Linked DNA regions of Macaca fascicularis. The protein of the gene in region 2 interacts with the protein of the main gene of each other region in a biochemical or structural test. Links are inferred from orthologs where the notes say so. Each region holds a gene or a part of one and is shown on either strand. Other genes may lie near its edges.

Evidence for each region.
Region 1: of the proteins of AURKB (region 2) and KLHL13, one has a biochemical effect on the other in vitro, tested with the Homo sapiens proteins (2 studies listed by BioGRID and IntAct, with this or other methods). The link is inferred for Macaca fascicularis from reciprocal best matches to the Homo sapiens genes AURKB and KLHL13.
Region 3: the proteins of AURKB (region 2) and KLHL9 form a complex in vitro, tested with the Homo sapiens proteins (2 studies listed by BioGRID and IntAct, with this or other methods). The link is inferred for Macaca fascicularis from reciprocal best matches to the Homo sapiens genes AURKB and KLHL9.

What each region holds. Positions count from the first base shown.
Region 1 is NC_088395.1:124,447,126-124,457,972, forward strand, and holds the start of KLHL13 (kelch-like protein 13), read right to left. Parts: upstream 5,228-10,847; 5' UTR 4,935-5,227; intron 1-4,934. UniProt on the Homo sapiens protein: Substrate-specific adapter of a BCR (BTB-CUL3-RBX1) E3 ubiquitin-protein ligase complex required for mitotic progression and cytokinesis.
Region 2 is NC_088390.1:8,285,241-8,296,072, forward strand, and holds AURKB (aurora kinase B), read right to left. Parts: upstream 5,951-10,832; 5' UTR 5,905-5,950; intron 5,623-5,904; 5' UTR 5,598-5,622; coding exon 5,550-5,597; intron 3,283-5,549; exon of another isoform or gene 3,222-3,282; coding exon 3,119-3,221; intron 3,017-3,118; coding exon 2,962-3,016; intron 2,762-2,961; coding exon 2,567-2,761; intron 2,279-2,566; coding exon 2,140-2,278; coding exon of another isoform or gene 2,130-2,139; intron 2,030-2,129; coding exon 1,881-2,029; intron 769-1,880; coding exon 594-768; intron 423-593; coding exon 249-422; 3' UTR 113-248; downstream 1-112. UniProt on the Homo sapiens protein: Serine/threonine-protein kinase component of the chromosomal passenger complex (CPC), a complex that acts as a key regulator of mitosis.
Region 3 is NC_088389.1:77,605,223-77,615,949, forward strand, and holds the start of KLHL9 (kelch-like protein 9), read left to right. Parts: upstream 1-5,500; 5' UTR 5,501-6,045; coding exon 6,046-7,899; 3' UTR 7,900-7,996; intron 7,997-9,960; exon of another isoform or gene 9,961-10,727.

The DNA of each region.
Region 1 (10,847 bases), on a different chromosome or scaffold from region 2:
CTCACGCCTGTAATCTCAACACTTTGGGAGGCCGAGGCGGGTGGATCACGAGGTCAGGAGATCGAGATCATCATCACTAACATGGTGAAACCCCGTCTCTACTAAAAATACAAAAAATTAGCCTGGTGTGGTGGCACGCACCTGCAGTCCCAGCTACTCGGGAGGCTGAGGTAGGAGAATCGCTTGAACCCGGGAGGCAGAGGTTGCAGTGAGCCGGGATCATGCCACTGCACTCCAGCCTGGGCAACAGAGCCAGACTCCGTCTCAACAACAAAAAAAAAAAAAAAGAAAGAAAGAAAGAAAGAAAAAGAAAAAGTGGGCCTAGCTAATTCATGTAATCTTAGCAAGTACCATAAGAGGCAAGTTCTATTATCCCTTTTTTACATATAAGATAACTGAGGTACAGAGAGGTTTACTAACTCACCCAGTGTCCCACAACTATTAAGTCTCCTAGCTGGAATTGAAACCTAGGTGGCCTAGTTCCAGAGCTTGAACTCTGAACAAGTATGCTCTACAACCTCTCTCAGAAACCACTTCAGAACACCAGACAAACACATGAAAAGTATATCAAAAAATTAATAGGAGAAACATCACAAGACAGCATTTATTCATTATTCAATAACTATTTATAAAGTGCATACCATGTGCTGGGTGCTCAGAATACAACAGTGAGCGAACCAGATAAGGTCTAGGTGGCCTTCATGAAGCCAGAGGCAAGTGGGGAGATGGTCAGGCACCAAAATAAGCATAATTATGACACAACAGGGCAAGTGCTGTTCACCTTCAGATGGGGAGATCTAGTTCAATGAGGAATAGTGTAATAGGACCTGGGATTCCAAATGACAAAAAAGAAAGACATGGCATCCATTTGACAAGCACCTACTGTGCACCTACTCTATGCCAGGAATAATGCTAAGCACAAAAGTTCCAAACTGGGGAAAATCAGTTTAAACCAATAGAGATTTGTGAAAGAGAATAATAAGGACATATGGGAAAGTAGGCTGGGATCAAATCATGGAGGATCCTTGCTTGAGTGGCTCAGTTAAGGAGGAAGTTGACCCTGCAGGCACTGATCAAGGTTATTTTGCATGTTATTCCCCCACAATATTAGGATTTACTCCTGTGGAATGTCAATAATCATCTGCATTCCTATTTGGGACCAACTAGACCTCAAAGCTGGATTGCTTTCAAGGAAGGGCTTAGGGCAATAAATTCATTGAAGCTTCAGGAAACACAGTAGCCCTAATCTCTCAAGGAATAAAAGTATGGCCATTTGAAAATGTTGGAGAGGCAACAGGTAAAAGAAAATGATAAGCCCTTCTTAAAATTCCAAAGGCCCTTTCTAAAACCTAGGTTATTCCTTTACACACAAATAAAATGTCCAACCTTCCAAAGGAAACATATTTCCATGAGAAAATAAGACATCATTCTTTGAAAAATAAATTCTGAAGTTGAACAATGATCTGATTTTTAATAAAGTTGGTGACAACTTACCTTGTAGCACAAGTCACAATGTGACAGTGGAAAGTAAACTGCCTTTTAACATACTCACCTCAGTGTTCCCATTCCCCCATCCCCTTACCAAAACAGAGTAGAGGAACTGGATTACATGATTATTTAGCATATTGATCATACAGTTTTTTTTTATTCTCAGGTATTAATATAAATGACTGAGTGAGTAGACATTCTATTTATCCTCTGCAAAACTTTTTTTTAATTTCCTTGGATAATTTTTTTAAGCCAATGACCTTCCCCAGGAAAGACTCTTCAGTGGCTTCCTATTGTTCTAAGAATCAAACCCAAATTCTTTCTCAGGACCTCCAAGTCCTATTTATCTGTTATTGAGCTGCTTCTAGGCTCTGTAACATCTTCTTTAATCACTACCAGCTCACGAGGATCCAGTCATGCTGACTTGCTTTCTGCTCTTCAAAAACGCCAAGTCTCTTTTTCCCCCCTCAAGGCCTTGGCTCTTACTCTTCTCTCTGCAAGAATGTTATCTGGGGAATGTTCTCCCAGATTCTGACAAGGTAGGCCTATTCTCTCTTCTCTTTCAGGTCTCTGCTCAATCATCTTCTCTGAGAGGCCTTTCCTGACTTCCGACACTAAAATAGGCCCTTCCTAGTTATCTGTATCATATTCCCCTACTTATTGTCATTGCTGTTACTACAGTCTATAAGGATCTTCTTCATTTGTTTGCTTGTTTATTGTCTATATTCTCTGGTAGAATATAAGCACTGTGATACTCCACAAGAGCAAAGATCATGCTTTATGAGGTTTATCATTGTGCCTAATACAGGGCCTTGGCACACAAGTACCAAATAGATTTTGTAAAATGAATTAGTAAATGAATGAATGATACAAAAAAAACTGATTGTTATGAATATCAGTAACTTGAGAAAGCCGTTCTTATAATTTTGAGATATTTTCTCTAGGGCTATTCATTTCTCTACAGTCTTTCCACATTTTCTGAAATAATTCCTGGAAATTTGTTGTATTATTTCATAGCAATAAAAATACATCGGTTTCAATCAGTGGATTTAAGAAAAAAATATTTTCAAGAGGTTTTAGTGGCTTACCAAACATCAATAAAAATCAAACAATTTGAAAATTGGTCAGTCTCATTTCACTACCGCAAGTCAAATTACATGAAGAGAATGTGAAATGTAAATAAAATGAGAAAGAAGATAATCCAATAAATAAGTGCAGTTACATTTAGTAATAACAGAAATATCCAGTCTGATAATCTCTAGGTGTACCAGATGGACTATCAAACACATATTGAGTCATATTGAAGATTCAGAGCAAAATGTTTATGGCTAATTCACATCCACCTTTATTCTTTTCCTGGCAAATACAGTCTTACTATGCAATCACATTACTAGCAATCTTAGCTTAGATTTTGTATCAATAACAATCATGAAAAGAAAAAAGTAAGAAAATAGTATAAACTCTTTTCCTTGAAAAAGTTGTAAGTTTTTATGTCTTTTGAGAATGGTTTGCTAAGAAAATTACAGATTTAGAAAGGTGGGCCTATTAGAATAAGTACCCTTTCCCTACTACATTCCATTTTTTAATAAACCTCAAGTAAACCCAGGAATTTACCAAATCAATTGGGAAACTACAAATCATCTGCAAGTTATCTAACTAAATGGATAAGCAATAGGCTTTACTTTTCTTGTGAAAACTACTTTCTTCAGAACATCAACTAAGCCTTATATAATCACACGACACTTTTTGAAGTGTGTTTATAAAAATGGCAAATTAAAAACCTTGGGCTTTTTAATAATTGAAGCTCTTATTTATCTGTTTTTTAAATACATCATTTGATGTTGCAGCAGAAACTACTCTCATCTCACTGCCATAAGAAGTGCCACCGGGACAGTGAAATTTAGCCATTATCTTCATTCACAACCTGGTTTCTTCTGAGATTGCTGCCAATTAGTGCACACTGTGTCAATGGCAACACTAGGTCACACATCAGGCAAACAACTCTTTTACCGTTAAGTATGAGGCTATTAATAAGAACTTGCAGTTAAGGGAGCTAATATTTTTAGATGTAAAATGATGTCATAAATGCTGAATTATTTCATTTTTCTCAGTTTTTAAATTTGAACACTAGATACAGCCTATTTCCAAAAACACAGCTGCATATGTCAGCATGTGCTTGTTCACTGGTATTTGCCTCCACTGTGTGCTTCTCCATTCAGTTTTCTTCACACACTAATTGCAGTATGGAAGTGAGCAAATGAACCTCAGTATGGGAGCTAACACCACAACTACATGGGGAGAAAGTGATATCCCTAAGAGTGAGTAGTCTTTTTTGTAACTACGTGGTTTTAAAATACGCTGCTTTTAGACGGTTTATACAAATATGAAATCTACTGTTAAGAAACTGTGGCTTCAAAAAAATAATAAATTTTTTAAAAAGCAGGTGCTCTCCAGAGACAGTTTTAAATTCCAGCGTTTCTTAGTCTCCATTCAATGTGCTTAGTTGCCAGCCTATGCTAACTTGAACGACTTTATCCCAAACCACTAAAGTCCTCTGACTACATTAAAACGATGAACATCCCAGTTTACAATTAGAGAAATGGAGCCAGGCATCACAAGCCCCACCAATCCTCTCTCTCAGGCCTGTTCAGCAGCCAGGGAATAATCAGATTTAGGACCATGTACGAAAATTGCGTACAAACATATATACATACATTTTAAGTGACTATTGTTCTTGGGCTAAGTTAATGAAACCTAGAAAGAAACTTTAAAGTTCCCTAGTTGATATTTACTAAGGCTATTTAGTGAAGGGATGATCTCATCACTTTCAGTAAACTGTAGCCTAGACTATAAGCCTCCACGAAAATCATTAGTCAACTGTGATTAAACAAGCAAACAAAAAAAAAAAGTCAAAATATTCAGAGCTGAAGACATTCAGAGCGAAGTTAAAAGCTTCGAGGAAGAAGAGGAGTGTGCTCCTGACTTGGGAGCCAGGAGAGGAGCCTCCTAAGTAAGAAGCTTCTGAAGGAAGAGATGGATTAGGAGGCACAAAGCAGAAACTGTTAGAGGGCAAGAGACAGTGGGGCCGGGGCGGGCAGAGGGACCCCAGACCGTCAGGGCAGCAACAGCGAGGCCCAGAGAAGAAAATCTTGGAGAGATGACAAAGAAGCACAGGAAAGCCGGCTTCTGGGGTCCTAGAAAAACCCAGGCGTCCGACGGAGCCAGAAGGACCGGGAGAACGGGATGCGAAGGTGTAAGGATGAGGGCGCGCACCAGCACGCGGGAGAAAAAGAGGGGGCGGCGGGCAAAACGAAGCTGGTTCCCTGCTCCTCTACTCCTCTGCCCCTGGTACAGATCGCAACTCCTCGCCGCGCACCGCGCAGCGCCAGGTCCGGAGGCAGGGAAGCGGCTGATGGAGCCCCTGTGACTTCGGGACCCTGCCTCACCTTGCTCGCCGCGTCCTGGCGTCGCGCCGCTTGTCCGCCGGGTGCTGCGCTCCGAGGGCCAAAGAGGGAGTCTCGCGGCGCAGCCGGGGCTCCCTCCTGCTGCGAGGCACCAGCACCCGCACCTTCGCACCCTCTGCTAGTCCCGGCCACTTCACCCTGTCCTGGCGCAAGCGGAGAGCACGGACCCTAACCCGAATGCCGCTCCAGTTATTTTCAAAACTCCCCGTTCCAGGCTTCCCGGGAATAGGAGCTGAGCTACTGCGGCCGCAGCGGCAGAGCCTCCGCCTGACCTCACCAGGGTGTGGGGGGGACTGCTGAGGGAGGGGGGGCGGGAACCCAGTTGGGGAGGGAGGGGGCAGTGGGGGGAGGGAGCGCGCGGGCGGGGGAAACATGGCGGCGGGGGTGGCCCCGGCGGCGCCTGCGCGGGAGGCAGGGTGGCGGGGAGCTGTGGCTAGGACAGTGTGTGGGGTCCCAACGGAACTCCCGGGCTGTAGCCAAAGCTTGACAGGGCTGGACCCTGAAGCTGAATGACCGCTAAGTGGCCCTCACGCCTCCGAACCCGGGAGGGTCGGGTGTGAGCCCACATGGCTTCTAGTGCCGGGAGGCAGAGAAAGTGAAAAGTGTCAAGTATCCAAGGACAACAGTGCAGCCGCCCTGGGTTAGCCACTCCAAGGAGGTCCACCCGTGCATTCTGCCAGCCGTGGCCTCGGCCTCCTCATAGTCACGGCAGGGCCCCGGCAAAGGGTGTGCTCTGGAAGCAGTGCCACCTCACCTCAGTGGGGCCCACGTCTCAAAATAAGCCTGACCCAGGCTCTCACACAAATACCACTCTTCTAGTGGGATAAGCGCTTCATCCCTCCCCCTCCCTGCTGCAGTACACAACATTAAGAAAGAGGAAGGATAAAAACTACAAATAACCATTTAACATTTTACTGAGCGTCTGCTATGAACCAAGTACTGAAGCTTCAACTTACCTAATTCACAGCTACTCTGTAAGTTACACACTATTGTCTCCATTTTACAAGTGACAAAACTGAGGTGTATAGGTTAAGCAAGTTGCCAGAGGTTACGTAAATAGTGACAGAGCGGGACTCAGGATCCCAAGCGGTGTGATTCTGGCACCCAGGCTCTTAACTATGCGACCTGCTTCCCAACTCTGGTGGGACTGCTCTTCTAAGTCAGAATCTTGATTCTGTTCTATCAGCCTAGCCCCCAACAAAAACCCCCGTCAAGCCTGTTTTTCCCCTTGCTTGTCTTCTATTCATTCTTTGCCTTCTTGACGGTTACAGCCTGGGGCCACCTTCTTACACCTCTTCCTTTGCCCTTCCTTGCCTTTCTACTTATAATTCCAGACTCCTCCTTGGGAAAATAAAGGGAGTTTGCTCTTAGCAACCAGTTTAATCACTGTTGTGATTTTTTTCTTTGGCTGTTTTTTGGTTTTTTTTTAAGGAAGTGATGCGGTGAGTGTGGAATCTTTATGTTTTCTAGGATTTCTCCCTCTGGGATCTGAGATCTTCAACATTGCTGACTTTGTATTTCAACTTACATACACTGAAATTCTAGTAGAAGGTTTTAGGTAAATTTGAGAATAATCAGCTACTCAAAAACTTGCTAGAACTAAAGATAATACCACATTGTTGGACTTTACCAAATATTCAAAGAACTCCAAATATACATAGAATTTGCATTATTACCTTTTACCTGCAAGTGTATTGAACCCAATTCCCCTTTGTTAACAGGAATGCATCCATTGGCTTCTCCACTATGCTTATTCAATAATTATTGTACAGCTACCTTACACACTAAATGCTCATTAGGTAGAAAGCACCTTTTACAGAAGTTTACAATCTGACTGAGGTGATATATTTCAAGCAATCACTTTTAGCATGTATCAAAAACCTGGCACATAAGTTTAAAAAAAAAAAGTACAAACTGAGCTGGTGTACACTCGAGTCACTGCTTTATCCTGCCATTAAAAGGTTCAAGTGGGGTTAGTTTATAATAAGTTTCTCCCACAGAAAGGCCAGTAAAAATGGGACAATCCAGTGTGGCCAAGCAGGCCTTATCTACACAAAGAGAAAACCCTTATAGCAAGGTTGTTGAGATGGGGGCAACTACAGGATCTGCATTTGAACTACCAGTAACTTGCACAGATTCTCAGTTAAAAAAGAAGAAGAAGAAGGAGAAGGAGAAGGAGAAGGAGAAGAAAAAAAAAGAACTGGCAGTAAGATATTACAAATATACTTATCCAATAGAAGTCCATTGCTGTTTGTTTGGGTTCAGGTGCTTTATCTGAATACTTAATCTACTGGATAGAGCACTAGACTTGGAGTCAGAAGACAATTTATGTGCTATGTGACATTAAGTTAGTGCTCTGAGAGTGTTTTCCCAAATTTCCAGTGGGGAGTAAAATAATACTGGTCTGATATGCCCCACAGCATTGTTTAGGGTTTCAAATAAGATAACCTATGGGAGAGTAAGTTGTATTTGGAGAAAAGGTCTTTAAAGAGGTAATTCAGTTAAAGTGATGTCTCTAAGATGGGCCCGAATCCAATATGACTGCTGTCCTTTTAAGAAGAGTTTAGGACTTAGACATATATGCACACAGAGGAAAGACCATGTGAGGATGCAGTGAGAAGGCAGCCATTTGCAAGACAAGGAGGCGCTTCAGAAGAAACCAAACCTACCAACACCTTGATCTTCTAGAATTACAAGGAAATAAATTTATGTTGTTTAAGTTACCCAGTCCATGGGGTTACACTTTGTTATGGCAGGTCTAGCAAATGAATACAATGGGGAGCATTTCAAATGCCAGCTAGAGTATCCGCTGACTTCGTTATTGTTCGTTGCTAAAAACACACACATTAATTATCTGTTTCCATGTGTCAGGAGTCCAGGTATGGTTTAGCTGGGTGCACTGCTCAGGGTCTCACAAGGCTGCAATCAAGCTTTTGGCTGGGCTGTGTCCTCATGTGGAGCTCAGAATCTTCTTCCAAACTCATTCAGATTGTTGGCCAAATTCAGTTCCTTGCAGTTACAGAATTAAGACCCGTAGCATTTACTGGCTTTAGAGGCAGCCCCTCTCCATTAGCAGTTGACAACATGGTTGTTCTGCTTAGCCAAGGCCAACAGAAAAACTTCTTTCTTCTCAGGAGGGGTCTAGTGCCTCTTTTAAGGTCTTTTACCAGATTAAGTCAGGCCCTCCCAAGATTATCACCCTTTTGATTAATTCAAAAATTAACTGTGTGCCTTGATTACATCTGCAAAATCTCTTCATCTTTGCCACATAATATAACCTAATCACAAGAGTGATAGCCCAGCATATTCACAGGTCTCAACCACACCGAAGTGGAGAATGTATAACAGGAGACAAGAATCTTGGGACCATCTTAGAATTCTGCCTACCATGCCCCAAATATTTGACAGCACCAATTAATTATACAATTATAAAAATTAACTAACAGACCATACAGGCAGATGTGGGCACACACATAACATACATACAAACACACACACACACACACACACGCACACCCCCAAAGTGCACAGAGCTGGTAGCTGATCTCTAATCAGTCTAAAAGCATTTGCAAGCTTGCTGTGTGCCTAATGTGAAACTAAAAGATTTCAACTGCATTAACTCTGATTAAATAACAAATTGAAAACTATTTAGGATACATTTTGTCTCTCTGGTAAATTTGCGTTTCTTCAAAACACTTATCTCATCAATTATTGAATGGAACCTATTATTGAATGGAATCTATTTTTTAAAAAACCCTCACAGGGCTTTGGGTAGCATACACAGAAGGGTCTTGCTTTAGAAGTTAGAGATAAATCTGACTAAAGAGGTGCAAGACCTGTCCTGAAAACTTTAGGCTTGAATAAATGTAGAGATATACTGTATTCATAGGGCAGAAGAATTGATATCATTAAGATGTCAATTCACTCCTAATTGATCTATAGTTACAGCACAACCCCGATCAAAGTCCTAGCTGGCTTTTTCTGTAGAAATCAACAAGCTGATTCTAAAGTTCATATGGAAATGGACTAAAATAGCCAAAACAACTTTTAAAAAGAGCATTAGGGGGATAATACTACCTGATTTCAATTTTTACTGTAAAGCTACAATATTCAAGACAGTGTAGTATTGATCAATGAAACAGAATAGAGTCCATAAGCAGACCCACAACATATATGGGCAAGTGATTTTCAACAAATATTCAAAAACAATACTTCTTTCCATAGTGAGTACACCAATTTACATTGCCACCAACATTCTCCACATCCACATCAATACCTGTTATTCATCCTTTCTATAATAGCCATTCTGACAGCTGTGAGGTAATATTTCACCGTGGTTTTAATTCGCATTTCCCTTGATGATTAGAGATTTTCAACATTTTTAAATATATTTATTGGCGATTTGTATCTCTTCTTTTGAGAAATGTCTGTTCAGATCCTTTTCCCCGCTCTGGGTATATATTCAAAGGAATTGAAATCAGTATGTTAAAGAGATATCTGCACTCCAGTGTTTATTTCAGCATTATTCATAGTAGTTTAGTAGTCAAAACATGGAAGCAATCTAATAATCCATCGATGAATGAATGGATAAAGAAAATGTAGTATATATACACAATTAAATACTATACAACCTTAAAAAAAGAAATTCTGTCATTTGCATCCATGACAACGTGGAAAGAATTGGAGGAAATTATGCTAAGTGAAATAAGCCAGACATAGACAATACTGTATGATCTCACTCATATGTGGAATCTAAAAAAGTCAATCTCATAGAAACAGAAAGTAGAAAAGTGGTTATCAGAGGCAGGGGAAGGAGTAGGAAGCATGGGGAAAGTGAAGATGTTGATCAAAGGGTCCAAAGTTTCAGTTAGACTGGAGAATAAGTTTTAGTGACCTATTGCATGGCATAGTGACCGCAGCTAATAGTGTATATTTCAAAACTGCCAGAATAGATTTTTAAAATTCTCTCCTCCCACAAAAAAAAAAAGATGAGTTGGTGAGGTGATGGATATGTTACTTATCTTGATTAAATCTTTCTATAATGTATACATAGACCAAAACCTCACATTGTATCCCACAAATATACACAAGTATTTTTTGTCCATTTAAAAAATTTAAAGGCAATTCAGTGGAGAAAGGATAGCTTTTTTCAACAATGGTGCTGGAACAACTGGACATCCATGTGAACTAAGATCCACACCTAATACCATCTACAAAAATTAACTCAAAATGCATCAAAGACCTAAATGTAAAATCTGGAGCTATAAAATTTCCAGAACTTTGGCAAAAACCTTTGTGACCTTGGGTTAAGCCAAGATTTTTTAGCTGTAACACCAAAAGCATGATCCACAAAAAGACAAATTAATAAGTTGAACTTTATCAAAATTGAAAAGAAACAACTCTTCTATAAAAGACACTGTTGACAGAAAGAAAAAAGAAACTACAGACTGGTAGAAAATATGCAAAAATCATATCTAATATTAAAAGACTTGCATACAGAATAAAGAACCTTCAAATCTCAATAACAAGAAGATGAACAACAAATTAAAAATAAAAACAGGTAAACTATTTGAACAGACACCACTAAAGAAGATATATCAAAAAAGCATGACAAACAAGCACATGAAAAGATTCTCAACATCATTAGTCATTAGGGAAATGCAAATCAAAGCCACAATGAGATAACACTACAATGTACTAGAATACCTAGCACTAAAAAGAATAATTGTAATAAGTTTCTGCAAGGAACTACAACTCTCATATGCTGCTACTGTGAATGAAAAATGGTACACTCATTTTGGAAAATAGTTTGGCAGTCTTTTAAAAAGTTAAACATACACCTCCCATATCATCCAGACATTCCACTCCTAGGTACTTACCCAAGAAAAATGAAAG
Region 2 (10,832 bases):
AGGGATAGCAAAGCAATGCTCATCCCAGCTCCTCAGGGTGAGCCACCTCTCCTTCTAGGGAACAGCTTCCTCCACAGCAAAGCCTCCACCTAGAAACATCTACACTCATCAGTACAAAAAGCTTCAGCCTTTATTAAACAAAGGAGGAGGTAGAAGACAGATAAGGGAACAGTTCAGGATCCCTTCTTTCCCCTATACATACACAAACATACAAAACACAGACACACCCCAGTGAATGACAGGGACCATCAGGCAACAGATTGAAGGGCAGAGGGAGGCAGCACCCTCCGAGAGTTGGCCCGGACCCAGGGGTGGGCTGAGACCTGGGCCAGGGGCAGCCGTTCCGAGGGGTTATGCCTGAGCAGTTTAGAGATGAGGTCCTGGGCTCCCGTGGGCACAGAAGCGGGGAACTTTAGGTCCACCTGCAGGTGTGAAGAGATGGAAGGGCTGCATTACTTTCACCCTGGCTACATCTTCCTTGACTACCCATTCTGTCTGGAGTTACTTAGGGCCACGCGGATACACTCTGCCCACCCCCAGCCCCCCAGCCCCTGGCCTCTGCAGCTGGCACGAAGCCCAGGCCGCCCTCCCACCTTGACGATGCGCCGATAGGTCTCGTTGTGTGATGCGCTCTCAAATGGTGGGTTTCCCACCAGCAACTCATAGCAAAGCACTCCAATGCACCACAGATCCACCTTCTCGTTGTGTGTGCGCCCCTCAATCATCTCTGGGGGCAGGTAGTCCAGGGTGCCACACATTGTCTTCCTCCTGGGAGGGATAAGGGGCGTGGGCAGGGGTCCCAGTGACATAGGAACTCTCCTTTCCCTGCTACCTGATGGCAGGGAGCCAAAAGACCACGGGAGGTACCAGGGGAGAGGTCCAGCCAGGCAGGGTTACTGGAGTGGGGGTGGGGTTGGGGTGATGACATATCTGAAAGCCCCAGAGGTAAGCCTGCACACAGCCCCAGCAACTCCACGCTGAAGGATATGTCTTAATGAGATACTCCGCTATGAGGGCAGTGTTCATTTGGAGTTCATTTTGGAGTTCACTGGGGACATCTCTAATGCCCATCAGGCATGTTCTGCTTAAATAAATCAGCTACTATGTGATACTATGAAACCGTTAAAAAATGATGTGGGAGGAAAAAAGGCCACTGCTCCGGGCTTTTTTGAGACAGAGTCCAGGCTGGAGTGCAAGGGGGCGATCTTGGCTCACTGCAACCTTTGCCTCCCGGATTCAAGTGATTCTCGTGTCTCAGCCTCCCGCACAGCTGGGATTGCAAGTGTGCACCTCCATGTCTGCTTAATACATTTTGTATTTTTAGTAACGATGGGGTTTCGCCATGTTGGCCAGGCTAGTCCGCTAGCCTTGAACTCCTGGCCTCAAGTGATCCACCTGCCTTGGCCTCCCAAAGTGCTGGGATTAGCAGGCGTGAGCCACCGCACCTGGCTAAAGTTTTACCATTGGCTCATACGGGGATCAAACCCATGACCTTGGGGTTCTTAGCACCACATTCTAACCATTTTGTTTGTTTTTTTTTAGAGGAGTCTCACTCTGCCGTCCAGGCTGGAGTGCAATGGCGCAATCTTGGCTCACTGCAACCTCCGCCTCCCAGGTTCAAACAATTCTCCCGCCTCAGCCTCCCGAGTAGCTGGGATTACTGGTGTCCGCCACCATGCCCGGCTAATTTTTGTATATTTAGTAGAGACAAGGTTTCAGCATGTTGGCAAAGCTAGTTTCGAACTCCTGACCTCAGGTGATCCGCCCGCCTCAGCCTCCCAAAGTGCGGGTATTACAGGCGTGAGCCAGCACGCCCAGCCCCTGGAGAGGTTTTAATGGCCCCGCCTCACACCCAGGGCTGGCCTCCCAGGCCACCATACCTCAGGGAGGGCGCATGCACAGACCAGCCAAAGTCAGCAATCTTCAGCTCTCCCTTGAGCCCTAAGAGCAGATTCTCTGGCTTTATGTCTCTGTGAATCACCTTCTTCCCGTGGCAGTACATCAGAGCATCTGCCAACTCCTCCATGATCTGGGAGGGGCAACGACAGGCAATCAGACAAGGATGGACCTCCAGCTACAAGCAGCACACCCTCAGCCTCCAGCCCCCTACTGGCGGCCCAGGTGCCCACCCGCCCGGACCGTGGCTGTTCGCTGCTCGTCAAATGTGCGGCTCTTCTGCAGCTCCTTGTAGAGCTCCCCGCGGGGCGCATACTCTAGAATCAAGTAGATCCTCCTCCGGTCGTAAAAATAGTTGTAAAGACGCAGGATGTTGGGATGGCTGAGGGAAGAGACAGAGGAAGCCTCAGGCCAAAGGCATAAAAGAGCTGGGAAAGATAATAGGAGCAAACTGGGGTCAGACGGGGCCCAGGCTGGGGACACCAGGAATGGGAGTGGGAAGGGGAAACTGGAGGCAGATTTCTGGATTCAAGGCTCTGGCCAGGACTAAGGGCTAAATGGGGCTCACTAGCCGTAGCTACAGAGAACGCAATCTGGATGAGGTAGGGCTGAGTGAGGAGCTGGGGTGAGGGAGCAGAGGGGCTTCGGCTCAGGGGGCATCAACCCATACTGCAGGTGGGCCTGGATTTCGATCTCTCTGCGCAGCTGATGCTCCACGCCCTCCTTCTCTATCTGGGACTTGAAGAGGACCTTGAGCGCCACGATGAAATGGCTTTTCTTCTCCCGAGCCAAGTACACGTTTCCAAACTTGCCTTTGCCCAGAGGACGCCCAATCTCAAAGTCATCAATTGTGAAGTGCCGCCTGCTTAGAAAGTGGGGGAAGGCAACTCAGAACCGGTTTTGGTTATTAAGAGGTTTGCTTTCTCTCCGCTTCCTCATCTCATCCTGTCCCCCGCCCCACTTCTCTTCATCTCTACTCCTCCTGCCCTTAGGTTTTATCTTCCCGACTTCCTGCCCATTCACTGTCCCCTCACCTCCCTCCACCCCAAGGCTTGGGGCACTTACATTAAGATGTTGGGTGTCCCACTGCTGTTCTCCACCACCTTCTGGCCAGGGGCAGCTAAGGAGACAACAGGTAAGTTGAATGAGAGCAGGGATGACCTTCTCATCCCTAAACCCTCCCATAGACGCTCATCAGTCCTCTCCCCCTTGCCCCAGGTACCTGTGGGCTGGACATTGGAGCGGCTCATGAGGACAAGTGCAGATGGGGTGACAGGCTCTTTCCGGAGGACTCGCTGGGGCAGGGTGCTCAGGCCAGACGGAGCCTGAGAAGGAGCAGGGGGTAGCTCTGAGGGTGCCTTTGTCTGATGACCCGGGTGGAATGTGCTGCAAGCAGTATTTCAGCCCCTTGCTAAAGAGCCACCCACCCGCCCACCCCCAATTCAAAGAGAAACACTGATGTGACAGTTTTGCCTCCCAGCCTCTGCTCACAGTCCCATGTTAAAATGGGTTATTCATAAACAACCTAGGGCCGGGCGCAGTGGCTCACGCAGTCAGGAGTTCAAGACCAGCCTGGCCAACATGGTGAAACCCCGTCTCTACTAAAAATACAAAAAATTAGCCCAGTGCGGCTGGGTGTGGTGGGTCACGCTTGTAATCCCAGCACTTTGGAAGGCTGAGGCAGGCGGATCACGAGGTCAGGAGTTCGAGACCAGCATGGCCAACACAGTGAAACCCCACTCTACTAAAAATACAAAAATTAGCTGGGCGTGGTGGCGAGTGCCTGTAATCCCACCTACTCAGGAGGCTGAGGCAGGAGAATCGCTTGAACCTAGGAGGCAGAGGTTGCAGTGGGCCGAGATTGTGCCATTGCACTCTAGCCTGGGCGACAGAGCTAGACTTCGTCTCAAAAAAAAAAAAAAAAATTAGCTGGGTGCGGGTCCTGTAATCCCAGCTACTTGAGAGGCTGAGGCAGGAGAATTGCTTGAGCCCGGGCGGCAGAGGTTGCAGTGAGTTGAGATTGCGCCACTGCACTCCAGCCTGGGCGACAGAGTGAGACTCTGTCTCTAAAAAATAAAAATTAAAAAATTAAAAAATAACCTAAGTAGGCCTAAGATAAGGGGCAAAAGACTCACACCAACACCTAACATTTCACCTCTTTGGCCCTGGCCCACACTTTTCAGGCATGAAGCTGTTCAACTTGTATAAGTCCTGTCCATAACACCACAGCCATTCATCTAGCCTCTCACCTACACCACAGTAGAGAGCTGGGTGTCTACTGTGAACACCCACAATTCAAGGGGTTTAGACAGAGGTATTCTCAAAGTCTCCCAAAAAGCTTAGTTTATTAAGGCTTAGATAAGAAGCTTGAGGCCTTGAATGTTATAGCAATAACCAGGGGTTACACCTTTGCAAGAACAGCCTTTAAGGACACTAAGAGCTACTCTGATGGCCCTGGACCACTTCTCACTTTCACCTTCTTTTTTTTCTTCTGAGATGGAGTCTTGCTCTATTACCCAGGCTGGAGTGCAATGGCGCCATCTCGGCTCACTGCAACCTCCACCTCCCAGGTTCAGGCAATTCTTCTGCCTCAGCCTCCTGAGTAGCTGGGATTACAGGCGTCCGCCACCATGCCTGGCTAATTTTTGTATTTTTAGTAGAGACAGGGTTTCACCATGTTGGCCAGGCTGGTCTTGAACTCCTGACCTCAGGTGATCCACCTGCCTCAGCCTCCCACGATTACAGGTATGAGCCACTGCACCTGGCCTCACTTTCAGCTTCTCAAAATAATAGATACACTTTCTTTTAGGAGTGACCAAGGTAAAAGTGACAATGGTTTCTCATTCAGACTCCATTCCTGACAGCCTCACTCATTGCTCCGTGAGGGAGGGAGCTGATGAACAAGGGGACAGGCAGATTCTCCAGGAAGCCCGAGCTCCACAAACAGGGAGCAAAGCCTATGCAGGGCCCCTTCCTTCTTCTTCAGCCAAGAGAAGAGAGCCCCTATGCCCCTAAAAACCTCTTCCCAAATAGTGATATTGGTACAGATCTACAAATAAGCAAGTTGAATAAAATACAGTCCAGAAATAGACCCACATATATGTGGGAATTTATATATATAATAAAGGTGGCATTTCAAATCAGAGAGGAGGCCCCTCAATGAAATCTGTCTGGACAACTGGGAAATAAATCCATTTAGATTCATTGAGATCCTTACCTCAACTTACTCATTAATTCCAAATTATAATTTAGACTTTTCCTGGACCTTTTAAACAGTAACTTTATATCCTTTTAGAGTCTATTTATATTTGCTGTCTAGTTTATTTTTTTCAGGACATGGGTTGGGAATCATGGCCTGAAGGCCAGGCCCTGCCTGCTCAGTCCCAGATATCACTTGTGTGTGATGAACCCTGCAGAGGCCCTCACCGGCTGGTAGTCACTGGCTGGTCAGATTCAAGTTGGCAGCACCTAACAGGATGTGGCTGGCTACAAATGCCCAGACCAGGTTCTGTCATCAAACTTGGGGCGCGTACTTTGGAGCATAACGGGAAAGAAAGTGCATAAGGGATTGCTCTTTGCACGATCTCAAGTTTCCCAGCAGGAACTCGCCATGCGGGGTCATGTGGGCGCGGGGAAGGAGGGAAGGGCCTTACCGTCTGCCGGCCGTAGGGCCAGGGGTAGGCGTTCTCCTTCTGGGCCATCCTTAGAGGGAAAGGGGGAGGAGAGCTGGGCCGAGAAGGGAAACAGCCGTGAGAAGCAGAGAAAAAGAGAGAGAGAGAGGTAGGGGTTGGACCGATCAAGCCGGAAGCGCTAGCCCGAGCTGGTAAAAGGGAGCAGGTCAGCACACTAGCTCCAATCCGGGCGCTTGTCTCACCGCCCCCACCCTGCTATCATCCCTACCTCCTTCCAGCCCTGCAGTGTGCGCGCAGGCCAGCCCAACGGACCCTCTGATCTGCCTGATCATCTGCCCACTCCTGGCGCAAGGCCTGCGACAGGAGGCCAGCTCACCTGAGGTCCAAGGTACTGCTACTCTCCCGGCCGCCCGCAAACAACTGAATCTGCCACGCCACGCCCTGGCCGAGGACCTTTCAAATCTCCCGCCCCGGCCCCATTGGGTGAGCTCGTCGCCCATGCCTAGTTCCCATTGGCTCGATGTCCTGTGACGTAAGTAATGGGAACCCAACGGAAGAGGCACGCTTGGCTTCCAGCTTAGGAAGGTTTCCCCACATTCCCCCAGTGAATTATCTTCCTTTTTCTTTTCTTTACTTCCCTTCCCTTCCCCTCCCCTCCCCTCCCCTCCCCTCCCCTCCCCTCCCCTCCCCTCCCCTCCTCTTCTCCCCTCCCCTCCTCTTCTCCCCTCCCCTCCTCTTCTCCCCTCCCCTCCTCTTCTCCCCTCCCCTCCCCTCTCCTCCCCTCCCCTTCTCTTCTCCCCTCCCTCCCCTCCCCTCCCCTCCTCTTCTCCCCTCCCTCCCCTCCCCTCCCCTTCTCTTCTCCCCTCCCCTCCCCTCCCCTCCCCTCCCCTCTCCTCCCCTCTCCTCCCCTCCCCTTCTCTTCTCCCCTCCCCTCCCCTCCCCTTCCCTCCCCTCCCCTCTCCTCCCCTCCCCTCTCCTCCCCTCCCCTCCCCTCCCCTCCCCTCCCCTCCCCTTTCCTTTTTTGAGACAGAGTCTCTCTCTGTCGCCCAGGCTGGAGTATAGTGGTGCTATCTCGGCTTGCTGCAACCTCTGCCTCCCGGTTTCAAGCGATTCTCGTGCCTCAGCCACCCGAGTGGCTGGGATTACAGGCGCCCGGAATTTTTGTATTTTTGGTAGAGACGGGTTTTCACTATGTTGGCCAATCTGGTCTCGAACTCCTGTCCTCAGGTGATCCACCCGCCTGGGCTTCCCCAAATGCTGGTATTACAGGCGTGAGCCACCGCGCCTGGCCTTCTTCTTTTTATAAAAAAAATTAAATCTTTAATATAACTGGAGTTTATCCTTATACATGTATGAGCTGGGGTCTAACTTCTGCGCGATGGAGAGCCAGTTATGTCAACACCATTTGTTAAACAAACTGCCCCAATAGAATTTAAATGCTGCCCTTGATATATAATGTTAGCATATTTACTTGTGTCTATGTCTAGACTTTGTATTCTGTTGTTTGCTCATTTGGCTGTGTGTTTATTCTTGTGTCATTACTATGTCGTTATTAAAAGTTCTGACATTCCTGGGAGGAGTTTTCCACGAGTAGACCTTTCCTTGCAAGATCTCTGTTAGCTGCCATGTTGTTTGGGCCCACTTTGATTTTTCCTCCTTCCTGCCACACTCCCTTCTTTTCTGCTCTTCCTAACCCTCAGATTTCATTACTGGGTAATGAATACATTACTGTAAATAAATACATTTCTGGGTCTTCTATGAAATAACCAGTGGATACTTGTTAAGTATGTACTGTCCAGCACTCTTCTCCTTTCTCCTAACACTCTTATTTTCCCTTAGGGGACCACCTGTCTCTCCAGTCTAAGTAGTCGGTTTCTGTAGTAGTTTCTGTTGCTGACAACCCCAAATCCCTAGGTTGATGAAGACCTAATTAAATACCACTTCTTTTTTTGTTTGTTTGTTTGTTTTTGTTTTTTGAGACGAAGTTTTGCTGTGTTGCCCAGGCTGGAGTGCAATAGCGCCATATCGGCTCACCACAACCTCCTCCTCCCGGGTTCAAGCGATTCTCCTGTCTCAGCCTCCCCAGTAGCTGGGATTACAGGCGCATGTGACCACGCCAGCTGATTTTTGTATTTTTAGTAGAGACGGGATTTCATCCCATTGGTCAGGCTGGTCTCAAACTCTGACCTCAGGTGATCCGCCCACCTTGGCCTCCCAAAGTGCTTGGATTACAGGCATGAGCCACTGCGCCCAGCCTTATTCCCAGTTCTTTTTTTTTTTTTTCTTTTTTTTTTTTTGAGACGGAGTCTCGCTCTGTAGCCTGGGCTGGAGTGCAGTGGCCGGATCTCAGCTCACTGCAAGCTCCGCCTCCCGGGTTTACGCCATTCTCCTGCCTCAGCCTCCCGAATAGCTGGGACTACAGGCGCCCGCCACCTTGCCCAGCTAGTTTTTTGTATTTTTTTAGTAGAGACGGGGTTTCACCGTGTTAGCCAGGATGGTCTCGATCTCCTGACCTCGTGATCCGCCCGCCTCGGCCTCCCAGAGTGCTGGGATTACAGGCTTGAGCCACCGCGCCCGGCCTATTCCCAGTTCTGAAAGCACGTAGAGTTTTGAGGGTTTGAGAAGGAAACTGACTCCATTCCAGGTCCAGAAATGAGTCCCAATTGACTTACACTAATCAACAGGTTTTATTCCAGATTCTGGTTATTGGATCAGGGATATAAGCATGTGACTTCAGTGGACCAGCTAGTGGGAATCACTTTTCTTGCTCAGAATGCTGGGCAGCTCAAGGAAGCACTTAACGTTTACTGGTTTATCATAAAGTGTATTTCAAAGGATATAGATGAAAAGAGGTATAGGGCATGGTATGGAGGAAGGGATTTCTGGAAGTGAGCAGGGAAGCATGCAGCCCTCGTTGCTGCTTCTAGTGCTACTGAAGGAAGCAGCTTGACATTGAAGCCTAACATTGCAGAAGGCAGAAGAGAGGCCTGGAAAGCACTCCAGGACTTGATGACATTGTCTGCATGCCTCTGCATGCCTCCATTAGCACTTTTCCTACACGAACAATAGATATTCTTCCTGAATGCATTCTAAATGCTATTTTCCGTTTAAAGCATACCGTGTAGAGAAAACAAACCATGGCTGGGCTTGGCGGCTCATGCCTGTAACCCCAGCACTTTGGGAGGCCAAGGCAGCTGTATCACTTGATCCCAGGAGTTTAAGATCAGCCTGGGCAACATGGTGAAACCCCGTCTCTACAAAAAACACACAAAAAATTAGCCGGGTATGGTAGTGTATGCCTCTAGTCCAAGCATACACTTGGCCTCTAGTCCAAGCTACTTGGAAGGCTGAGGCAGGAGAATCAGCAGAGCCCAGAGGTCAAGGCTGTGGTGAGCCATGATTGTGCCACTGCACTCCAGCTCCGACATGAGAGTGACACCCTGTCTCAATAAAAACAAAAAACGGGCCGGGTACAGTGGCTCACGCCTGTAATCCTAGCACTTCAGGAGCCCCAGGAGAGTGGATTGCCTGAGCTCAGGAGTTCAAGACCACCCTGGGCAACATGGTGAAACCCATCACTACTAAAATACAAAAAATTAGCCAGTTCTGGCCAGGCGTGGTGGCTCATGCTTGTAATCCCAGCACTTTGGAAGGCTGAGGCAGGCGGATCACGAGGTCAGGAGTTCGAGACCAGCATGGCCAACACAGTGAAACCCCACTCTACTAAAAATACAAAAATTAGCTGGGTGTGGTGGCAGGAGCCTGTAATCCCAGCTACTTGGGAGGCTGAGGCAGGAGAATCGCTTGAACCCGGGAGGTGGAGGTTGCAGGGAATCGAGATCGCACTACTGCACTCCAGCCTGGGTGACAGAGCTAGACTCCATCTCGAAAAAAAAAAAAAAAGGCCAGTTGTGGTGGCAGGTACCTGTAGTCCCAGCTACTCAGGAGGCTGAGTGAGGCACAAGAATTGCTTAAACCTGGGAGTGTTGCAGTGAGCTGAGATCACGCCACTGCACTCCAGCCTGGGCAACACAGCAAGAATCTGTCTAAAAAAAAAAAAAAAAAAGACCCAATTTTTCCTCTGCCCTCACACCACAGCAATCAACACAGGAGACTTCTGCGACCACATGTGTGGGGATTTTACTCCACTACCAAGCAAGCAATAGTTCTGCAGCAGCCATCAGCCGGGAGTCTTCCAATTCGACTCTGACACTATCTACCTGGAGAGAGCATCAGATCCCACAGGTTGACGGCTTAGTCCCACAAGACTGCCCCTCACTTTGGATGCCAACCACAAGCCTCAGGTTGTTTTACCTGTACTTATGACTAACTAGGTATAAGTTGGGGTTTCTACAATTCTCTCTTTATGTTCAATGAATTTGCTAGAGTGGCTCACAGAATTCAGGGAAAAATGTTCACTAGTTTATTATAAAGGATTTTTTTTTTTTTTTTTTTTTTTTGAGATGGAGTCTCTCTGCTGCCCAGGCTGGAGTGCAATGGCGCAATCTCGACTCACTGCAAGCTCCGCCTCCCGGATTCAAGTGATTTTCCTGCCTCAGCCTCCCCAGTAGCTGTGACTACAGGAGCCCGCCACCACGCCTGGCTAATTTTTGTATTTTTAGTAGACATGGAGTTTCACCACGTTGGCCAGGCTTGTCTTGAACTCCCATCCTTGTGATCCATCCACTTCGGTCTCCCAAAGTGCTGGGATTACAAGCCTATATTCCCAACACTTTAGGAAGCTGAGGCGGGAGGATCACCTGATGTCAGGAGTTTGAGACCAGCCTGGCCAACATGATGAAACCCCGTCTCTACTAAAAATATTTTTTAAATGGCTGTGCATGGTGGCTCACGCCTGTAATCCCAGCACTTTGGGAGGCCGAGATAGGTGAATCACCTGCACTCTACTGCACTCCAACCTAAGTGACAGAGTGAGACTCCATCTCAAAAAAAAAAAAAAAAAAGAAGCTAGTTATCAACTACCACTACATGACCAGTTAGAGAAACAAGGACTGTAAGTGTATTTCCCTTTTTTTTTTTTTTTTTTTTGAGACGAAGCCTCACTCTGTCCCCCAGGTTGGAGAGTAATGGCATGATCTCAGCTCACTGCAACCTCCGCCTCCCAAGCTCAAGTGATTCTCCTGCCTCAGCCTCCCGAGTAGCTGGGATTACAGGCATGTGCCACCATGCCTGGCTAATTTTTTTGTATTTTTGGTAGAGATGGGTTTCACCATGTTGGCCAGGCTGGTCTCAAACTCCCGACCTCAGGTGATCTGCCCTCCTTGGCATCCCAAAGTGCTGGGA
Region 3 (10,727 bases), on a different chromosome or scaffold from region 2:
CCAACCCTTCTGCCTCTGCCCTGCGAGTAGACATTATCACTTCTAATAGCATGATTATTTTTGCTCGATATGGTTTCATCCATTTCATGTGTATTTATTGATCTGATTGTTACAATAATCCTATGAGATCAATACTATTATTCTTCCCATATTACAGATGAGGAAACTAGGGAGCATAATGTTCATGGTACTTGCCATGGTCATATTGCTATTAAATAGCTGAGCTAGAATCCAAACCAGGAACTCTGGCTCTAAAGTCAAACCCTTTAGTCACTAAATTGTGCTGTCTAAAATATCATGGCAAGCTCGATCAACAGTCTGAATCAAGACAATTAGATGTGTTTAGAGAAATAACCACTAACTACCACACAGCACTTTGTAGATTGTTCTGCACATACCCTTTGACTTCCTCCTACTTACGGCTCAGACCCTGTAAGCAGGCGTCAACCTCTGAGGGAAAAAGACTTGCCCAAAAGCCACCACTAAAAAGGAGAAGATTTGAGCTGAGAACAGATTGGGGTCTATTATTTTCTTCACCATTTCACAAAGGACAGGAGACAACAGACCAAGAGGATTTCATGAGTAATCCTTTTCTCCAGTGAGGCCAGCTAGGCACTCTGGACATGGTTGGTGCTAAACTTGTAAGTCCTAGTCAGGCCCTGTCTCTTGACTGAAGATTTATATGTTTCTCAACCCCTCAGAATCCTTGGGGTACCCAAGTTCTTCACTGCACTTATGCAGGTGACAGGAGGTCTATCTGTGACCCAGAGAGATGCTGTAGGAAGATAAGGCAATAATGAGGAAATGAGTGAAGCATAGAGTGAGTAAGGCAGACGCTGTGATTTTGGGTCTCCACCAGGGTAACTTGTGAAGAAGAGAAAGAAAGAAGAGAAAGAAAGAACCTAACCTTGGGGAAACATGATATCCACTGAGTACATGAAGTTTTCCATCAGCACACCTAGACTCAAATCCTATCTCTGCCAATCACTTGTGCACTCTACGTGGGTCACCTCTTCTCTCAGCGTCCTGCTTTTTTCATTGATAAAGTAAGCTTAATAGTATTACTATTCACACTGTAACAGGTGGATTAAATCATGTAACATATTATTTGTTTTATAGATGGCACATACGTATTTTATAGATAGCACATAATCAACAGATTTTTTCTTTCTTTCCCTGTTCTTTCTTAACACTGATGAAAGAAAAGAAAAACAATGTTTTCTTTTAATGCCTTCTTAGTATTGACTGCTCTCATCAATTCTGCATTCATGACAAACAACAAAGTCTAACTTAGATACATTAAACACAGAGAAAAGAACACTGAACATACAGGCAGAACCAGCTATGAATCCTATCTCTGCCCCTCACCATTCACTAAATGGATGTCTTAAAGACATCACTTACCAATTCTGATCTGCAGATCACTCCTCATATCATCTCTGCTAAGAGAGAAAATTATAAAATGCTACCAAAGTATGAGTGAGTTTTATGACTAGGTAGTAAAGAATAGGAAACCAGTGAATCAATAAACTCACAGTGTGGTGGTTTACAGACATTATCTGCATGGCAGCAGAATATACTTCCCTAGAAGTATCCCCATCTGGTCAGAGATGGCCTTTACTGCGATGGCCATCCTTGTCTAGTCTTACTTAGGTTTCAGTATTTTTGCAGAACTAGCATCCCTGGTGTACGAAAAATGTGATAAATGAGCTCTCTGTGCAGTCATCTACACCCTCTCTGAAGAGCATCTGGATTTTATTTATCCACATTAATAAAGAGAGCCCATTTGTTTGATGGAAAGAAGTAGGATTTCAAACTCATTTTCCTTAAGTTTTGCATGGTCTCAATCATCTGGCAATAGGAGAAATGTAAAGGAAAATAACAGTTATGTGTAAACAAAATTGACAAAGTTGCATCATAGGGAATATAGCTAACATCTGCATAAAAGGTTTATATATACTTTTAAGAGGGGTGTATAAAACCATAATTCATAAGAATAATAAAAAGTACAATTAATGCCATAAAATGAAACCCAAATAGAATTAAGAACAGCAAGTGAAGCAAATGGAAAAACACTGTAGCCCCCTAGTACTCAAAAACTATTAAACAATTATTCTTGAAATTTTAGCTTATTAAATAAGCAGTTAGACAATATACCCGATTAAATAAAGTATTAATTTTATATGCTTTGTGCCACTATATCCATTCCCTGAAGTCAATCCTAGTTTGTAAAAAGGTTACAAAATTATATCCAATAATACAAACACACATTTTTCTCCAGGTACTACCTTCTTTCTCTTCTTCCATTCACAGATAAACTTCTAAAAGAAGTTTCCATCCACTTTGTCTCCAACCTCTCCTCCTATTTACTCTAGTCAATATATTCCAATCTGGATTTTGACAAATTAATTCTGGCAAACCACCCCTTTCTTTTCCTAAATGTAAAACGTCATGTTTTAAACATGTTTCTTCCCTTAAACACCCTCTTATCACAATTTTCTCCTGGTTGTCCTCCTATTTTGCTCCTGGATGTCCTCCTATCATTTCATTGAAATGCCCTTTTCAGGTTCCTCACTCTGTTCACTACATTAAGATGTAAAGGTCCTCAAGATTCAGGTTTTGGTCTTCTGATTCACTACACAATTTCTGCCAGACCTCATCCATCCTTGGGCTTTCAGGAAAAAAGTATAGCCCAGCTCCCAAATGAACATCTCTAGCCATGCACTCTGTAAATTCCAGAACTGTGCATCCAATTTTCAAGGCTTAAAATCCTCCAGTTTCTGGTGATAAAAACCACTTTACTTTTGCCTATGGTGTCAGTTTATGATACAGTTGAAATTAATTGGTTGATTAATAATTTTCTTTCTCTCTCGGCAAAAAGTTTCAAGAGGGCTGAAGCTGTGTTTCCTTTATTCACTTTTCTATCCTGAAAACAGTCACATATCAAGTGTTCCATACAGTGTGAATGGAATGAATGAACTCAACTTCACTTGAGGCTGCAAAATCAAACTTGGCATTGATTTATTGAGTAAGGCCAGGTATGGTGGCTTATGCCAGTAATCCCAGCAGTGTGGGAGGCTGAGATGGGAGGATTGCTTGAGGCTAGGAGTTCGAGGCTGTAGTGAGCTATGATCCTGCCACTGCACTCCAGCTTAGGTGACACAGCAAGACCTTGTGTGTGTGTGTGTGTGTGTGTGTGTGTGTGTGTGTTTAACAAACAAATGCAAAAAGATCTGAAAGTAAAACTTGAAATAATAAAGAGAATAATTTTCAAAATATAAAGTGAGGAGCTGGGCGTGGTGGCTCACGCCTGAAATCCCAGCACTTTGGGAGGCTGAGGCGGATGGATCACGAGGTGAGGAGTTTGAGAGCAGCCTGGCCAGCATGGTGAAACTCCATCTTTACTAAAAATACAAAAAATTAGCCAGGCACAGTGGCGCACACCTGTAGTCCCAGTTACTCAGGAGGCTAAGGCAGGAGAACTGCTTGAACCTGGGAGGCGGAGGTTGCAGTGAGCCGAGATGGCACGACTGTACTCCAGCCTGGGTGACAGAGCGAGACTCCATCAAAACAAAACAAAACAAACAAACAAACAAAAATATATAAACGGAACACTTTTTAATGTAATTAGCACAGTGTTAAAGGTGAACATTTCATATAAGCAAAAATACTGAATACAATAAATGTAGTAGACTCAATAACTAAGTACATAGGTAAATTAATAATATCATCCATGGTGAGCTAATGCCCCTAAGGACTGGATGCTTTATCATATAGACATTACCAACAAGTATTGTGACAAATTTGATTCAATCATTTCATTATGCAGGCAAAAAAGACAGTCTTTTAAAATAACTAAACATATGGGAATACAATGAAGAGTCTCTATACAGTAATAATTTCATTATTATTACTGTATAGGAACAAGTCTGTTCCTAAGCTATTAATCTTACTTGCAAGTTTGATGAAAAAGAGAAGGATCTCATGATTTCTTGCTCCAACTTCCCAGGTACAGAGTCTCTATTCTTTCTTTTCCAGATAGAGACTGATTCCTTGGAAGTAGCTCTTCACAGCATTATGGAGTTGTCATGCCCCAAGAGAGCCCTTCCACCCCTAACTCATGCAACAAGTAGGGCTCCAGGACTTCCCAATGCTGACAAAATTTCAGTGAATAATTTCTCCAGGCCAGTTTCATTCCAACCAACCTCTTGTGTTGAATAGGTTGACAATCTGCTGGAGCACCTTGTGGAGGTCAGTGGTAGTCTAAGCCTTCTGAATTTTGCTGCCATCCATCGGAAACAATAGAAAACATTCAAAACAGATGAACTGTCCATCAATCGGGCACTGGTTAAATAACTTATAACAACTCCGAGGGCAACAATAGAATTGTTTAAAAATATAAATAAGCTCTCTATAGTAATTCAGGAAGATCTTGAAGTGAAAAAAGAAAAATGCAGAACAGTGTACATGGTATGCTATCTTTTACATAAAAATGAGGAGAGTGTAATAAAAACATGACTATTCTTACTTTGCACACGCTTAAAGAACTAGAAGGACTTAAAAGACATAAACTTCAAAATTTGGAAAATGGAAGAAACTGTGTCAAAGTATACATTGATTTGTATGTCAAAATTTAAATTTACCACTAATTAAAGAAATGTAAATTAATAAAATACTTAAAAAGGGAAAAGTCAGCAGAAGGGAAAGGCACAAACATTGCTCATGATAATATTTTGGAAATACTGTCTTGGATCAGCATTTTACTAAATATTATCCATAACAGGGCTAAAATTTTGCTACCAGATTCTGTAAATTTACTACTCCATTGTTTTTCTATAAAACAATGGAGGATAAGAAGGTACATATTCAGGAACAAACAATGGGCAAAGGAAACTATAGTATGTTATTGAAAAATTATGTAGCCATTTTTAAAATTATGGAAAACAAAGGCATTTCAAGCCAAAAATTTAGACTGTATCATTTATATAATAAAGTAACAATCTAGTAGAGACAAATATTTTGCCTTTGAAATTATAACAAATTTGAAAATACGAACCAAAATTGTAACTAAGGTATCTATTACATAATGTGGGATAACAATTATTGTTTTGTAGAGGAAAAAAAAAATTAAGCATCCAGGTTTCCTCTCAATTTATACAAAAGCCGCGTTTCACTGTTATTCAAAAAAACAGAAACTAGGAATTGCAAAGTTTTAAAAAATGTATGCATTTGGGGAACGTAAGAGCTCAGATATGTGAAAAACTTACATCAAACATGCAGCATAATATACGTGCACACATTCTGTTCTATTTTGTCCCACATACAAGGCAGATCTAAGGAGCCGGGCTCGCGCCCACTCCAGACAGCTCGTCTTCCTCAACCCCCGCCCTCCCCGCCTCCCGCACACTTCCTCCCCCTTCCCCACCCCCACACGCCCGCCCACTGACGAGCTCTGGAGGCCGCGCAGCCGCAGTAGCCGCTACGGCCGCTCCCACCCCGCGGGATCCTGGGAGTAAGCTTTTCCGGAAGGAGCGGCTCGGCGTCGGGGCTAGGCCGGTATTCTAGGCCCAAGCCCAGTCCCAGGCCTGTGTTCCAGGTCCTTGCTCAAAGACAGGTCGGTGGCCGCTGCGACACTCTAGGTACAGCGGAGGGCGCAGCGGGCCGTTCGCTGAGGTTCCCGGACCCGCCGCCGAGCGGGCCGTGGAGCCACAGTACGTGGCGGCGCCTCTTCGTTGCCCGAAGCGGAACTGCTGAAGGAGCGGCAGCGCAGGCCGGACGAGGTGAACCGGGTCATTTAACCGCCTTCAGGTGATGAATCATCTGTCTAATAATCAGATTTGAGGTCCACAGCCCTTTGTGGTCCTGCTACAGGGCGATTTTCAGTGGATGACTGACTGGCGTGGCCTGAGGGGTGCCGCAGTGGCTGCCTTCCCTTGATAAGGAAACGAGCTTTCTGTTCTTTGTGGACACCTCGTTGCCTGTAAAACATTCCGGTTATAACTTCTTTCTCCGGCTTGCATCTCTGTGCAAGAGGAAAGCTTTCACATGAAAGTGTCCCTTGGTAACGGCGAAATGGGCGTCTCTGCCCATTTGCAGCCTTGTAAGGCAGGAACCACACGCTTTTTTACCAGCAATACACACAGTTCGGTGGTACTGCAAGGCTTTGATCAGCTTAGAATAGAAGGATTGCTTTGTGATGTGACTCTGGTACCAGGTGATGGAGATGAAATCTTCCCTGTTCACAGAGCTATGATGGCGTCTGCTAGTGATTATTTCAAAGCTATGTTCACAGGTGGAATGAAAGAACAAGATCTGATGTGCATTAAGCTTCATGGGGTGAACAAGGTTGGTCTGAAGAAAATCATTGATTTTATTTATACTGCAAAACTTTCTCTTAATATGGACAATCTTCAGGACACACTTGAAGCTGCTAGTTTTTTACAAATATTACCCGTTTTGGATTTCTGTAAAGTATTTCTTATATCAGGAGTCTCTTTAGATAACTGTGTTGAGGTTGGACGAATTGCTAACACCTACAATCTCATAGAAGTGGATAAATATGTTAATAACTTCATCCTGAAGAACTTTCCTGCTTTATTGAGTACTGGGGAGTTTCTAAAACTCCCTTTTGAACGGCTTGCCTTTGTGCTTTCCAGTAATAGTCTTAAGCACTGTACCGAACTCGAACTCTTTAAGGCAGCCTGTCGCTGGCTAAGGTTGGAAGACCCTCGGATGGATTATGCTGCAAAATTAATGAAGAATATTCGATTCCCACTGATGACACCACAGGATCTCATCAATTACGTGCAGACAGTAGATTTCATGAGAACAGACAATACCTGCGTGAATTTGCTTTTGGAAGCCAGCAATTACCAAATGATGCCATATATGCAGCCAGTGATGCAGTCAGATAGAACTGCCATTCGATCTGACTCCACTCACTTGGTTACATTAGGAGGAGTTTTGAGGCAGCAGCTGGTTGTCAGTAAAGAATTACGAATGTATGATGAAAGGGCACAAGAATGGAGATCTTTAGCCCCGATGGATGCTCCCCGTTACCAGCATGGTATTGCTGTCATTGGAAACTTTCTTTATGTAGTTGGTGGTCAAAGTAATTATGATACAAAAGGAAAAACTGCTGTTGATACAGTTTTCAGATTTGATCCTCGGTATAATAAATGGATGCAGGTTGCATCATTAAATGAAAAGCGTACATTCTTTCACTTGAGTGCCCTCAAAGGACATTTGTATGCAGTTGGTGGGCGCAGTGCAGCTGGTGAACTGGCCACAGTAGAATGTTACAACCCAAGAATGAATGAGTGGAGCTATGTTGCAAAAATGAGTGAACCCCACTATGGCCATGCTGGAACAGTATATGGAGGCTTAATGTATATTTCAGGAGGAATTACCCATGACACTTTCCAAAATGAGCTTATGTGTTTTGACCCAGATACAGATAAGTGGATGCAAAAGGCTCCAATGACTACAGTCAGAGGTCTGCATTGCATGTGTACGGTTGGAGATAAGCTCTATGTCATTGGCGGCAATCACTTCAGAGGAACAAGTGATTATGATGATGTTCTAAGCTGTGAATACTATTCACCAACCCTTGACCAGTGGACCCCAATTGCCGCCATGTTAAGAGGCCAAAGTGATGTTGGAGTTGCCGTCTTTGAAAATAAAATCTACGTTGTTGGTGGATATTCTTGGAATAATCGTTGTATGGTAGAAATTGTCCAGAAATATGACCCAGAAAAAGATGAGTGGCATAAAGTTTTTGATCTTCCAGAGTCACTTGGTGGCATTCGAGCTTGTACACTCACAGTTTTTCCACCTGAAGAAAACCCTGGGTCACCTTCTAGAGAATCACCTCTTTCAGCACCTTCAGATCATTCTTAGGTCTAAGGTGTAACACCTTTGCAGTACATCATGGGTGATCTAATACTTCTTCAGTTGTATCTTCTTACAGTGATTGGTACAGTTATTAGATATAAAGGTAATTGATGTTATTCGTCTTGTTTGGCTTTTAGTATGTTTATCAAGTGACTAACAAATGCATTCTGAAGATGTATTTAACATAGCTAGCTGTTTTAACAAATGAGAAAAAAAGATGTAGAAAAATGTTTAGATGTCTTTTTGTGATGTTATATAAAATTGTAGATGACTGTGGTAAATGTGTAATTATGTCCATTATGCTTCAAAGTCGAGTTTTCATCTTTGACTCCAAAATGTCAGAGGGAGGTCACTGTAACCTAAAATTAACGAAAGGTTGCCCAGTATTAATACTAGTTACCTCCCTCTTTTCATAGTTTTTGATATGTCTGTCAACTTACTCGATTGTGTGGTTGCATTCAGAATATTTGAAGTTTCTTACGCAGACAGAAATAATAAAAATACTAATTAGGAAAAAACAGTATAGCACCAAACCAGTATTTGGTATCTCTCTCTAGAGTGAGCAAGAGAGGGAGAAAGGAGAAAAAAATACACAATACAAACATACATCCCTACGCACATACATACATATGTATACACACACATAATTTAAAAATTGGCACTTCAACGATGCTGAAATTGTTTTTAAATTGAAGTTTCTTTCTTCCACAAAGCAGCCGTTTCTATTCAAATGGGAATTCAATACCAGAGAATAAATGTTTATATAGTCATACTGAATTTAGATGAGGGCTACAGCATACTAAATCAACAACCAAATTTGTCATGTGACAAAACCATTACTTCATATGAAGCTTACGTTAGTTTTTTCTACTTGTATAGTTTCTGTAGAGTACTTTTACACAGATTGGTAAAGTTCAGGTTTCAGAGAATTGTTTTTGTGCAGAAAATTTAGGTTCTTTTTTCCACCTTTTTTGGTCAGTAAAACTTAATGAAAAAAGCAAAGAAAAAAATATTCTGAACAAAGCTATAGAGTTTTAAGTTCAGCCTCCCAACTTAGTCATTTGCGATTTGGGGTGATTGCCCTGGTGCTGTTCCAGTCCATGTGCATCCTGAGCTGTGTGAGCTGCCTCAAGGCTATGATCTGAGCAAGCAGGAGATACATTTTCTTCTGCATCAAGTGAGGAAAAATGTGCTTTTGGCCATGTCTCAAGGACAGGACCAACTTCAGATTCCCTAAGAAGCCAGCTACAGAGCCTCTGGAACATTATGGTCTTATGAGCAGTACTAATAGCAACCTCCAGCCTCTTCAATACCAAGGGTATCCCTACTGGTTGAGAACCACATGATAGTTTTTAATGGGACTTTTATCAGCAAATGGAGTTACAGGAATTCTCTGTAATGATTCTGAAGAGGTACTTGTCTGGAATAATTGTCTACCTGAAGAAAAAAATTTTATATATACATATGTGTATGTACACACACACACAAACACCCCTATACCTGGAAGATTGTCAGAGTGTAAATCAGGAACAACTTTATTGACAATCCCATAATAAAACTCAGGAACCAAGGCAAAATGAATTGGCTTCTAGGGGTCTGAACCTTACTGCCCATACAAGTGTTGATTCATTTTAATGCTTTTTATGATTTCTGCATTGGCAGAAATGTTCATATTTTATATTTTTTTTTAATGACTCAGTTTTTTATTACTAAAAATAGCACATTTGAGTACATTTGAAAAATATAGAAATTAGAAATTAACTTTATTGAATAAGCAAGAAGTGCATCCTAATCCTTTCTTGATTATTAATGAGGTTGAATATTTGTGTATTATGGATAGCTGTGTTTCTTTGATCAAATATTCCTGTCCTTTTGCCCTTCTGTTACCTGTTGGAGTTGCTTTGTTTTTCGTATCAAGTTATAGGATCTCTTTATATAATAAATGTAATTTAACTTGCATTTGCTTGCATTTATTTCTTCCCTCAATCTATTGTAGTTTTACAATGGCAACGCTGTTAATTTTTGAGATCAAATTTGTCTTTTTCTTTTTTTTTTTTTTTGAGACAGGGTCTCACTCTGTTGTCCAGTTTGGAGTGCAGTGGCACGACCTGTGCTCACTGAAACCTCTGCCTCCCATGTTCAGGTGGTTCTCCTGCCTCAGCCTCCCGAGTAGCTGGGATTACAGGCATGTACCACCACGCCCGGCTAATGTTGTATTTTTAGTAGAGATGGGGTTAGGGGATAAATTTGATATGGTTTATTTTTAATGTAGTATTTCAGTGCTTATTCTGACCTACCAAAGTGGTACTGCCCTGCTTCTATTTTGTACAAGCTTTTCCTTTTATTGAAACAAAATACTTTTTATTACGTCTTATGTCTGACCCTGGTGCTTCCTATTGAAATAAGTATTGCTTTACCAGGTAAACTGCTCTATCTATATCCCCCACCTCCAGCTTCACACACCCTGCCTCTCATTCGTTTACTTTCCCATATTCTGCAGTTGACAGTTCTCTTGGTATCATGCAGGTAGCTGACTAATGCTATGCTAATACAGGTTGAGCAGCCCTAATCCAAAAATCCAAAATGCTCCAAAATTTAAAACTTTTTGAGGGCTAACAGGATGCCTGCCACAAGTAGAAAATTCCACACCAGACCTCATGTGACAGGTTATACTCAAAACACAGTGAAGACTTCTTTGTTTCATGCACAACATTATTAAGCATATTATATATAATTACCTTCAGACTATGTGTATAAAACATATGTGATATATAACTGAAGTTTTAAGTAATATTGTTTAGACTTGGGTCCCTCCCCCAGGATACATCATGTAC